Arabidopsis thaliana: one gene and its partner. The protein of the gene in region 2 interacts with the protein of the main gene of each other region in a pairwise test. Each region holds a gene or a part of one and is shown on either strand. Other genes may lie near its edges.

Region 1 (3,487 bases), on a different chromosome or scaffold from region 2:
GTTCATGAGAAAACTAACCGGAAATCCAAGAGGTATCACATTGCTTCAGCGAATGGGAATCGGTATGATCCTTCACATCCTAATCATGATCATCGCGTCCATAACCGAACGGTATAGGCTCAAGGTCGCTGCTGAACACGGGCTAACCCACCAGACCGCTGTACCAATTCCTTTGAGCATTTTCACATTGCTTCCACAGTATGTACTAATGGGTTTGGCAGATGCTTTCATAGAAATAGCAAAGCTGGAGTTTTTCTACGATCAAGCACCAGAGAGTATGAAAAGCCTCGGGACATCATATACGAGCACAAGTATGGCAGTCGGGTATTTCATGAGCAGCATTTTGCTTTCGTCAGTGTCTCAGATAACAAAGAAGCAGGGAAGAGGATGGATTCAAAACAACTTGAATGAGTCTAGGCTGGATAACTATTACATGTTCTTCGCGGTACTTAATTTGCTTAACTTCATCCTCTTCTTGGTTGTAATTAGATTTTATGAGTACAGAGCTGATGTTACGCAATCAGCAAACGTAGAACAGAAAGAACCAAATATGGTAGATAACTACAATGAGTAAGGAAAGACATTAGGTTTTTATTTGGTTGTAATAAAATGTATGGATTGGAACCAATTAAGCAAAGCCTTAAATCCACTTACAAATCATAATCATACACTGTTATTGTGATTAAAGATTGTTCACTTAAATGTATGTTTCTCTATCAGACACTGAGAAAACACTAAAGATTGTTCTTGTGATTTCATCAGATAGATATTACAACATAAAGCAGATAACTCTAAGACGACGACTTACATGATTTTCGATAAAACACTCGTCTCAGAAGTTATACTTCCTTTTGACAGAGACATGGTCATCTTCATCATCCTCCTCTTCTTCCTCTTCTTCTTCCTCTTCTACTTCTTCTTCCTCTTCTTGCACAACATCATCTTCCGCGGTATTAACCCTCTCGCACTCATCGATCCATTCGCTATAACTGCATTCATTTTGAAGACACCAGAGAGATTTTAGAGAAATACAAAAGCCAAAACATAATGTTGAAAATAGATGTGTAACTTACATGTCTATAGCTTCAGTCAAAGCTACAAGAACCAGAACAAAAAAAAAGAATGATCAGATACGTAAACCACAAAACCCGATTCTATATCGACTTGAAAGATCGAAGAAACCTGTGATAGTAGTACTAAAGCTTTCTTCACAGATTCTACAAGCTGCTTTACCAATCAGATGCTTCATATCACTGAGAAAACAAACAACAAAGGATTCAGTGAATGATTTCAATTGTTTTCATTCACATATTGTGATTCATCTTACATGATGCATTCGACACTAGACCCGTGATTGCAGAAAGGACAACTAAAGATTGTGTCAAGCTTATCCATTCGCTTCGTAGGAGCAGGCTTTGCTCTTGATTTCCTCTTTCCCATTGTTTAAGTACCTTTGCCACAAAACACACATAAAAATCAATACTTTTATAATGATTGAGAAAAGGTATTCAACTTCAAAGAAATCTCAATAATTGCTAAACTCAAATCAAAAGAACAAAAATCAATACTTTCACAATTACTAGATGATCAGATATTAGGGATCTTGAATCCCTAGACACACAAATCGTGAAACCCTAATTTACAGAACAAAGAAGGGATTCGTGAGATTGAACTTGAGTAGAAACAGATCGACATCACAGGAGATTGAATTGATTAGAGAATTGAGCTTACCAGGGGATGAGTGTTGTTTAGGTTATGAAGATTGCGGAGGAGACGGTGGTCTCTTTGCGGTGGCGATAGATGTAACCTGACGGCGAGAGATGTTTGTTTGTTTATATTTTTGGACGCATTTTAAAGTTGAGATCGATCTATCCATTGTTTCCAAGTATTTAAGGCCCATTTATTATTTTCTGAGGCCCATAGACCCGATTGAATAGTATTAGTCAAACAAAATTTTGAATAATGGGCTTGAATGGTATACAGCTTTGAATTGTTTATTGAGATTATTACATTATAAGACACTTTTAGAAAACTATTTACCCGTTTAGGCACTTTGAAAGGAGAAGGCACTTTACCAAATCAAAATTCCCAAATTGCCCTCTGAACCACAACGCTTTCTCCTCATTTTCTCTCTCAACTCTTTTCTCCATCGTCTTTATTTCTCTCTCTTTCCAAAATCAAAACCAATTTTTTACGGGAATCTCAATATTCCAAATCAAAACTAAAAGCCCAATTTCATATGATTTATCATCATCTTCCCTGTCTCTCAACAATTATTTGATTTGGTTCCATTTATTTCTCTCCTTGATTAAGGAATCTCTGTCATCGATTACAATGAAAAGTGAGGATGTTAACCATGATCAGTTACCTTCTAAGCAATCTGGGCTTGAAACGGTTCGTGATGTTGAGAACGCGAGTAGCAGCAAAAAGGCCATTGTCGATGTAACTTCATCTGAGGCATAGTTGTCCATTGATGAGTGTCCAAGCATTCAAGTCCAAATGGTCATCTAATAACTCACATTTGAGGCATAGTTGTCCATTGATAAGTGTCCAAGCACTCTAGTCCAAGTGGTCATCTAGTAACTCACATCTGAAGCATAGTTGTCCATTGATGAGTGTCCAAGTACTCAAGTTTAAGTATATAAAGCGTGTAAGAAGATCAATTGTAGCAGCAATGTTCTGTTGTTGATTCTTAATATATCCTTCGTTTTTAAGTTATGATAGAGAATTTTGAGATAATCTCAGAATTTCTATGATTTGTAAGAATTATAGAGAACCACCATGATTGATGATTTTGAAAAAGGAAATGAAAATGATGAAAAAAAAAAAACATGGAAGACAGAGAAGATAAAAAATGATAGTTTCTCAGACACGATCTCATCTGGAGTGAACGGCCATGACTAAAAAAGGAGAGCTTCATTTATAAGTTATTTGCGTCTGCATTACTTTAAGGGCAAATTGGTACAATTTCTTTTCATTACTTTAAGGGCAAATATAAAAGTGAACCGTTTGGACAAGTTTAAATGGACAATCTATACTGGATAAATTATTTGTTGATTTTTCTTTCAATTTGCAGAGATCTCTACCTTTAAGACAATATATTGATGCCACGAGAATATTACCATATGGTCATTAGCGCGTGGACATTAAATATGTGTTTGTATAAGAATTTCTGGAATTATAGAAGAAAGTGATACACGGTATAATCTCACGATGATCAACATTTTGTGGCCTTTAATAGTACGATGAACATTAACATTGGAGACCAACTCGATCTAAGTCGTAGAACCATCATAAAGGTCAATGTTTATACTAGAGGAGAACAGCAAAGTTTTTCACCGCTTTACAGCCACCGTTTCACAAAAACAAAATCGTAGCAAATCAACCGGATATAGCTTGTTTTTAGGATGTTAGACATGCTTCTCCAATTCTTCATCTTTTACTCTTAACATGTAAGACCAAAAGATTTACAAATCTCACCATATCA
Region 2 (7,123 bases):
AAGCGTGTTAAAACATTTGATACGTGGTTTTGTCATTCGTTATATGAACTTCATGCTTTTGCAGCTTGAGTCCTGCCATTAACGCACTTCAAGATAGGCAGAAGGAGAACAAGATCCGGGTATGTGTCTCCTCATAAATAAAGCTCTCTCATGGATGATGCTTTTTTTTGGTTGGGTCTAAAACCTGTTGTGTGTTGTGCAGTTAGCAATGCTGATGGATGAAGCTGAGGTTTTGGAGGCACAAAAACTTAAAGGAGCAGAGACAAGCCGGAGACCATCTCATCTGGTTCACGGTTCTGGCAGCCGAAGCAGAAGAGGATCGTAGAAAGACCTGCAACTAAAGACACATGCCCGTCTTCTTTGTGTATATTTCTATTTGGACATTTGTTTTCTTACATTGTATTATTTTGACCAGACTCCATCGCTTTGTTGTTGTTTAGAATCTGATCCACTTTTGGAAGAACCAAAAAAGAAGAATGAGAAGAACATTATTTTTGTGACTTTAGTTTAAGATACGTTTTCGTAGTAAGATTTAATATTATAAAGTATTAACATTATGAAACAGATAAGATCTAGTAGTAAATTTATTCAGATTTACTGTTTGTACTAAAAGACCCAAGAACAACTTTATTAATGATGTAAAAAAAAAAAACTGATATCTTATTCTGAGAATCGAATTCGCATATCCCAAAACGCTTTAAAGCTTTGAAGCTCTTTGCAGTTCTAACTTGCCAATGGTCCCAAGATGAACCTCATCAGGTCCATCAGCAATCCTCAGTGTTCTAGCTGTAGCCCACAAATGCGCTAAAACTGTGTCCGAGGATACACCGGCTGCTCCATGAACTTGTATTGCCGTGTCTAGTACCTTCAATGCCATGTTTGGAGCTGCAACCTGAGTACCAAAATGATTTTGCTTCTTCAAGATCTGTATTTGTCAATTTCTGGCGCAAAACAAATGTCACCAAAATACAACAGTTTTTACCTTGGCCATTGCGAGAATTCCTCGAGCTTTTTTGTTTCCAAATTTATCAAGATGATCAGCAGCTTCTAGAACCAACAATCGGGTTCCTTCTAGCTCTACCCGTAACTGTATCAGACAACCACTCATATAAGAAGAACATAAGAAGCAATTGGGAGATAAAAGCAGTGTCGTTTACCTTTGCAAGATCAGAGACGAAAGAACCGTGCTGCGCAATGAACTTCCCAAAAGTTTTTCTACTCAGAGCTCTTTGAGCCATTAGCTCCATTCCACGCTCTGCTGCACCTATTAGTCTCATGCAATGGTGCAGTCTTCCAGGGCCTAACCTACCCTAATATAACAAACAACAACGCAAGCAACCGATAAATACACAATCCTTACACTCTTTGTTACTGCAAGCCCTGAATCTGTGAATCTTTTGTAGTATTACCTGAGCAATCTCGAATCCTCGGCCTTCTCCAAGGAGAATGTTCTTCGCCGGGACAACCACATTTTCAAAAGAAATTTCAGCATGTCCATGAGGTGCGTCATCAAAACCAAACACTGTGAGAGGCCTCTTCACACTTATACCTGGAGTCCGCATGTCCACTAATATCATAGACTGCTGCTTATGTTTTGGGGCGTTGAAATCAGTTTTTCCCTATATAGCACAGATATGAATTCATGTGTGTGTATTTACATATATAGATAGATTAAGAGAGAAATAGAACAAGGAAAGAGAACTAACCATGAGAATAAGGACTCTGCACCTGGGATCCATAGCTCCACTTGTCCACCATTTTGTGCCATTAATGACGTATGAATCACCTTGTCTATATCAACATCAGAATTAGCTATAAGGAACATTGCGGACTGAGTCTCATTTTTTGGGAGTTACCAGTAGAAAAATTGAAGATGACATATAGCTTTCAAATGTTTTCATTTTTTTGTTCAGTTGAGAATTCGAATGAAAGTAGATATCAATATAAAGAAAATCTCTTACCTTCGGATAGAGCATTCAATATTGGTTGCATCAGACGATGCAACTTGTGGCTCAGTCATAGCAAATCCAGAACGAATTCTTCCCTCGAGCAACGGAATAAGCCATTCAGAAATTTGTTCTTTGTTACCATACCGCAGTATCACCTACAAGATAGTACAGATTATATAAATACAAGTAACAAGCAATGAGACAACTCTTGGAACGGTAAACAACATCAGGCTTTTATACCTCCATGTTTCCAGTATCTGGTGCACCACAGTTAAACACCTGTGGAGCCCAAACAGAACGACCCATGATCTCACAAAGGTAACCATACTCCAGGTTCGTGAGGCCCTCACCAAACAATTGATCAAAAGACTTGCCCGAGAGGTTATGTTTATTCTCGGTAGCCGCCAGTTCTCTTCTAGCTCTAGCAGCACTATCTACCTGCAAGAACCAAGAATCAATAAGTACAGTCTCAATCAGGGTAAAAGTAATAAGAGATTTGTAGCGAAAAAGATGCATACAGGAACAAATAAGTTCCATAGGCCTTCTCTCTTTGCCATTTCCTTTAACTTTTCCTCCTGAGGGTGAACGGTCCATCGCATATCTGATTGAGCAAGTTTGGAGAACTCGTTTTCCATTGGGTAGATATGAGTTTCCATAAACTTGATCAACTTCTGCCTTAACTCCAATACTTTTCTGTTGGGGATGAATCTCCCGCTTCCATCCACAAGGCTTTCATACGACGGAGACACGTCTCTTTGAACTGCATCCATATATAAGAAATGTAAAATAAACAGTTATCCTTAACAAACTTGAATCTCAAAGAGGTCGATTACCAGATGGAGGGTGTTCTGGAAGAACATTTTCACGTGCAATATAACCCAAGGCAGACTCTACAAGCTCATTAGCTTGAACCCCTGTATTTCGCGCTCTTTCACCGGCAGAAGCATTCCCCTGCATGATCAACACAATGTCAATGGCTCTACAACTGCATAATAAAGAATCTTAGAATTCAAAAATATGCCCGGGGAATACCATTAACCATCTACTGTACACCCCTGTGTAGATTGAAGCAGCCCGAAATAAGGAGAACGCTACGTAGAACTTCCAGTTTGCAGCAGGCCATGGTTTTCCCTAAAGTTCATTTGCCAATATGTCACTACAACAGAAATTGAGAAAATATAGGCAATGTACAAGGAACACCTGACTTGATTCCTTTTAAAGACTACATGTTGTTGCAGGACAATACCGATGCAGAACAGTATTCTAAGAGAAATTCTGGCATCGAAAGCATTCCTTCTGGAAGCCCAGTAGTTTCAAAACCTTCACTAACATGCTCCTTATCGAGCTGAACATTCACAATGTAATGCTGCCAACACAAATGAACTGTATATCAGAGCAGGAAGCAAAGAAAACTGCTTTATGAGTACAATACAACAAACAAGAATAGGTTATTACCATGCAGCTGTATGCAACATCACACATTTGGTTCCCAAGCGTGGACAATTCCCAGTCAATTATTCCAATAACTCGATCCTACAGTTTAAGATATTTTCAGTTAAGTCTCCGAGACTATCCAAGGATCAGAAAACAAAAGATCTTGAAAGTATTAAGACCTCAGAAGGATGAAAAACGAGATTGTCAATGCGAAAGTCTCCATGGACAAGGCCTGATGTTGCTCCAGTTGAATCTTCCGCGGGGATGTTTTTGCGTAACCAATCAACAAGCTCAAACATCTTTGGATTCCTTTCAGGTTTACCTTCACTTGTTGAAGCCAAATATTGTTTGAACCACCTATCTATCTGAAATGGAGGTATCCAAAAGAAAAAACTTTAGCAAGAGCATATAAGCATTAAGAGAACATCAAACTAGTGAGTAGTGATTTGGAAATTCACCAGCCCCAAATAAAGAACAAACCTGTCTTTTGCAGTAATTGCCTCGCCGACCATATTTCTCAAGACCAATGGCATCCACATCAGCAGAGTGAAGAGATGCCAAGGCTTTGGCGGTTGCACGATAGATCGCATTTCTCCTTTCAGGTGCTACATTCTAAATCAAAACCGATGAAACACACACAAATTTACACCTTTCGTTTACAATGAGTCACATCTCAAGCTAAAAAAACCGTACATACACATTCACATAACAGAGAATATCTTACCGGCAACTTTGGATCAATGAAAATACGTCCTTCCATAAACTCCATAATGTAAAAAGCAGTCCCAATGACAGCAGGGTCAGTGCATAAGCAGAAGACTTTAGGAACAGGAACCTGTGTATGTTCACCTAAAGCCCGAAGCACCTACATAAACCAACCACCATCAAAGTATTAAGCAAAAAAAGCATCTACCTTTAGTTGATACCGTATCTCTTATAAGCAGCATCACAAAAAGTTACAATGATTCTGCATTTCAAAACGGTACTAGAAACAACAAAATTTCATCTTCTTCAAAAATCGAGTATGAACAGTTACAATGAATTTTACAGAGGTAAAGATTATTAATTGATTGATACCTGAAACTCTCGATCAACAGCATGAGCAGATTGAAGAAGCTTGCCAGGAGGCTTCTTCCTCAAAACGTATCGTTTCAAGGAACTCCCTGAGCCAACCTCTATCAGAAACGTTGGATTCGACTGCCCATGTCCGAACTGTATGTAAACCAAACCAAAACAAAACACAGTCAGATAAAAGTTTCTTTCTTACCGGAGAAAAAACCTCGGCGATTGGAAAACATACCTGTGAGACTTTGAATTGGGAAGGGTTGGTCGGAAAGCCAGAGACGTTGTCGGCGGCAAAACGAAACAAGGCATCGTGATCGAAACGGTGAGCTGATTGGATACGTGTCACAAGATCGCCCGTGCTGCTTCCCATGATGTTCCTTCACTCTCCTCTATCTCGCTCTGCTCCTCAGAGATTCATCAACAAGAATAGCTCTCTAAAACACAAATACACGCATTCATACCAACAATTCCATTTACGGAAAGTCGCATAACCTTTCTTTTGGATAATTTTCTTTTTACTTTTGACCTTACAGCAATTTCAGAAATGTTTATCTACTTTTCTTATTTTTGGAGAGATAATTCTATGTTTTCTTTTTTTATAAATAGTAAATACAGTAACCATTTTGATTTTGATAATCATCGTTATTATCGTCATTGTGATTTTATATGCATCCAAAAAAAGCCAAAGATAATTACTAATTACTAACCATATATAGGTTGGAAAAGTTATCCATGAATTAACTTGATGGACATTTTGCTAACTCAAATCAAAATTTTAGATTAGGTGATTTGACTTAGGACGTCATATTCACATTAAGAAAGCTAATACAAAATGAATACGTTTTATAGCTAACGAGGACGAAATTTTCTTTCTGAAAACACTTAAGAATGAACAAACAATTTGACAAGCGATAATTGAAACATTTTTTTAACACTGAAAGTGTTTCAATTAGGAGTGTTGAAGTATTTGACAAGAAGATTTAAAGTATTTTTCTGTTGGGAAACTTTTAACTACTAAACTAAGGAATTTAATGTAGAGAAATTTTTTAATAGCCCATCTAAAAAGTATAAATCAAAGGCCCACTAAGCCCATATAGTTTCTCAAAGCTTCTGCAAAGAGAAGGACCGAAGAAGAACAGAAGCCGAAACCCTCACCGGCGATGGCTCTTATCAGCACACGGCGAACATTATCGACACTCCTAAACAAAACCCTCTCTTCCTCTACTTCATATTCTTCTTCATTTCCTACGCTCTCTTCTCGTTCTCGATTCGCCATGCCTCTAATTGAAAAGGTTTCCTCTTCCCGAACCAGCCTGGGCCCGTGTTACATCTCGACCCGACCCAAGACATCCGGGTCCGGATACTCGCCGCTGAATGATCCTTCGCCGAATTGGAGCAACCGTCCGCCGAAGGAGACGATTCTTCTTGATGGGTGCGATTATGAGCACTGGCTCATCGTCATGGAGTTCACTGATCCTAAACCTACTGAAGAAGAGATGATCAATTCTTATGTCAAAACCTTAACTTCCGTCCTTGGCTGGCAAGTTCCTTTTCATTTGATTTTGACTCTCAAATGTTTTCTTGTGCATTTGGGGATTGACGGATTTGCATTTTGTGGGTAATAATGGTTAAACTATAGTGAGGAAGAGGCCAAGAAGAAGATTTACTCTGTTTGTACTTCGACCTACACTGGCTTTGGTGCTTTGATCTCTGAAGAGCTCTCTTGCAAAGTCAAAGGTATCAACTTCTCCATATTTGCAATTAGGTTTTTAAGCCTTTTTTGCTCTGACATAGCTTTTCTAGTTGTTTACTTATGATGTTGAGATTTATCGTAAAAGGCTTTCTCTGTTTGGTACTGCTCTGTTCAACAGCTAGGAGGAAACTTCTCTTGATCTTTGTTTTATCGCAGTTATTGTCTGTCTCTAGTACTATAAAATGAGAACATATTTTACTGTTTGAGAAATCTGATCTAGAGTTGTGTGATTCATTAGCATTGCCTGGTGTTCTCTGGGTGCTGCCGGATTCCTATCTCGATGTACCAAACAAAGACTACGGAGGTGTGTAACGTTTGTAGATTTTGTCTGAATGATTGGGTACTGAGATATGGTTCTTAATACTGATACCATCTGTCTTTGGCTCTCATGTTCAGGTGACTTGTACGTTGAAGGAAAGGTCATACCCAGACCACAGTACAGGTTCACGGAACAGCGTCATACTAGACCCCGTCCTAGGCCAAGGTATGATAGGCGCCGTGAGACAATGCAGGTTGAGAGGAGAGAGCCATCCATGGGTCTTCATTCTCCAGTAAATCCGGGAGAGTTCAACAAGCCCAGTGCTTAATATTAAACATGAACAATGCATTATGTAATGGATGGAGTTTATTAGGATTATGGTATTTACATGCTTGTCTTAAACACTCATGTGAGAGACTTTTCAGTTTTTATCCACTTAATCAAACAAATCAATCATCATTCATGTCTCTAATGATGACTAAACACTACTCTAAACAGAACAAATTATAAAAATCTAATGTGAACTTGCGAAGGAGAAATTAAATAAATATGTACAATGTAATATATATACACACGAGAGATCATATGATGTAATTGGAACCGAGATTAAGAATACTTTTAACCAGGAATCATCACCACGACCACGAATTTGTCAGCATACCG

What was found. The genes of interacting proteins can lie anywhere in the genome.
Region 1: the proteins of IBR3 (region 2) and AT5G46030 interact in a two-hybrid assay, tested with the Arabidopsis thaliana proteins (one large-scale study listed by BioGRID).

Annotation. Positions count from the first base shown.
Region 1 is NC_003076.8:18,668,484-18,671,970, reverse strand, and holds AT5G46030 (transcription elongation factor-like protein), read right to left. Parts: upstream 1,921-3,487; 5' UTR 1,732-1,920; exon of another isoform or gene 1,452-1,731; 5' UTR 1,441-1,451; coding exon 1,328-1,440; intron 1,254-1,327; coding exon 1,183-1,253; intron 1,096-1,182; coding exon 1,074-1,095; intron 990-1,073; coding exon 833-989; 3' UTR 575-832; downstream 1-574. Other genes in the region: AT5G46040 (Major facilitator superfamily protein), read left to right, coding at 1-574. UniProt on the Arabidopsis thaliana protein: Transcription elongation factor implicated in the maintenance of proper chromatin structure in actively transcribed regions.
Region 2 is NC_003074.8:2,144,229-2,151,351, reverse strand, and holds IBR3 (acyl-CoA dehydrogenase-like protein), read right to left. Parts: upstream 5,110-7,123; 5' UTR 4,819-5,109; coding exon 4,684-4,818; intron 4,596-4,683; coding exon 4,461-4,595; intron 4,249-4,460; coding exon 4,108-4,248; intron 3,996-4,107; coding exon 3,864-3,995; intron 3,749-3,863; coding exon 3,563-3,748; intron 3,483-3,562; coding exon 3,405-3,482; intron 3,316-3,404; coding exon 3,196-3,315; intron 3,081-3,195; coding exon 2,982-3,080; intron 2,901-2,981; coding exon 2,783-2,900; intron 2,710-2,782; coding exon 2,468-2,709; intron 2,388-2,467; coding exon 2,190-2,387; intron 2,105-2,189; coding exon 1,962-2,104; intron 1,792-1,961; coding exon 1,707-1,791; intron 1,620-1,706; coding exon 1,410-1,619; intron 1,311-1,409; coding exon 1,158-1,310; intron 1,088-1,157; coding exon 983-1,087; intron 893-982; coding exon 698-892; 3' UTR 501-697; downstream 1-500. Other genes in the region: BRCC36B (Mov34/MPN/PAD-1 family protein), read left to right, coding at 65-119, 203-325; MORF3 (plastid developmental protein DAG), read left to right, coding at 5,609-5,992, 6,092-6,185, 6,440-6,505, 6,598-6,788; AT3G06780 (glycine-rich protein), read right to left, coding at 7,113-7,123. UniProt on the Arabidopsis thaliana protein: Involved with IBR1 and IBR10 in the peroxisomal beta-oxidation of indole-3-butyric acid (IBA) to form indole-3-acetic acid (IAA), a biologically active auxin. May be responsible for catalyzing the first step in IBA-CoA beta-oxidation.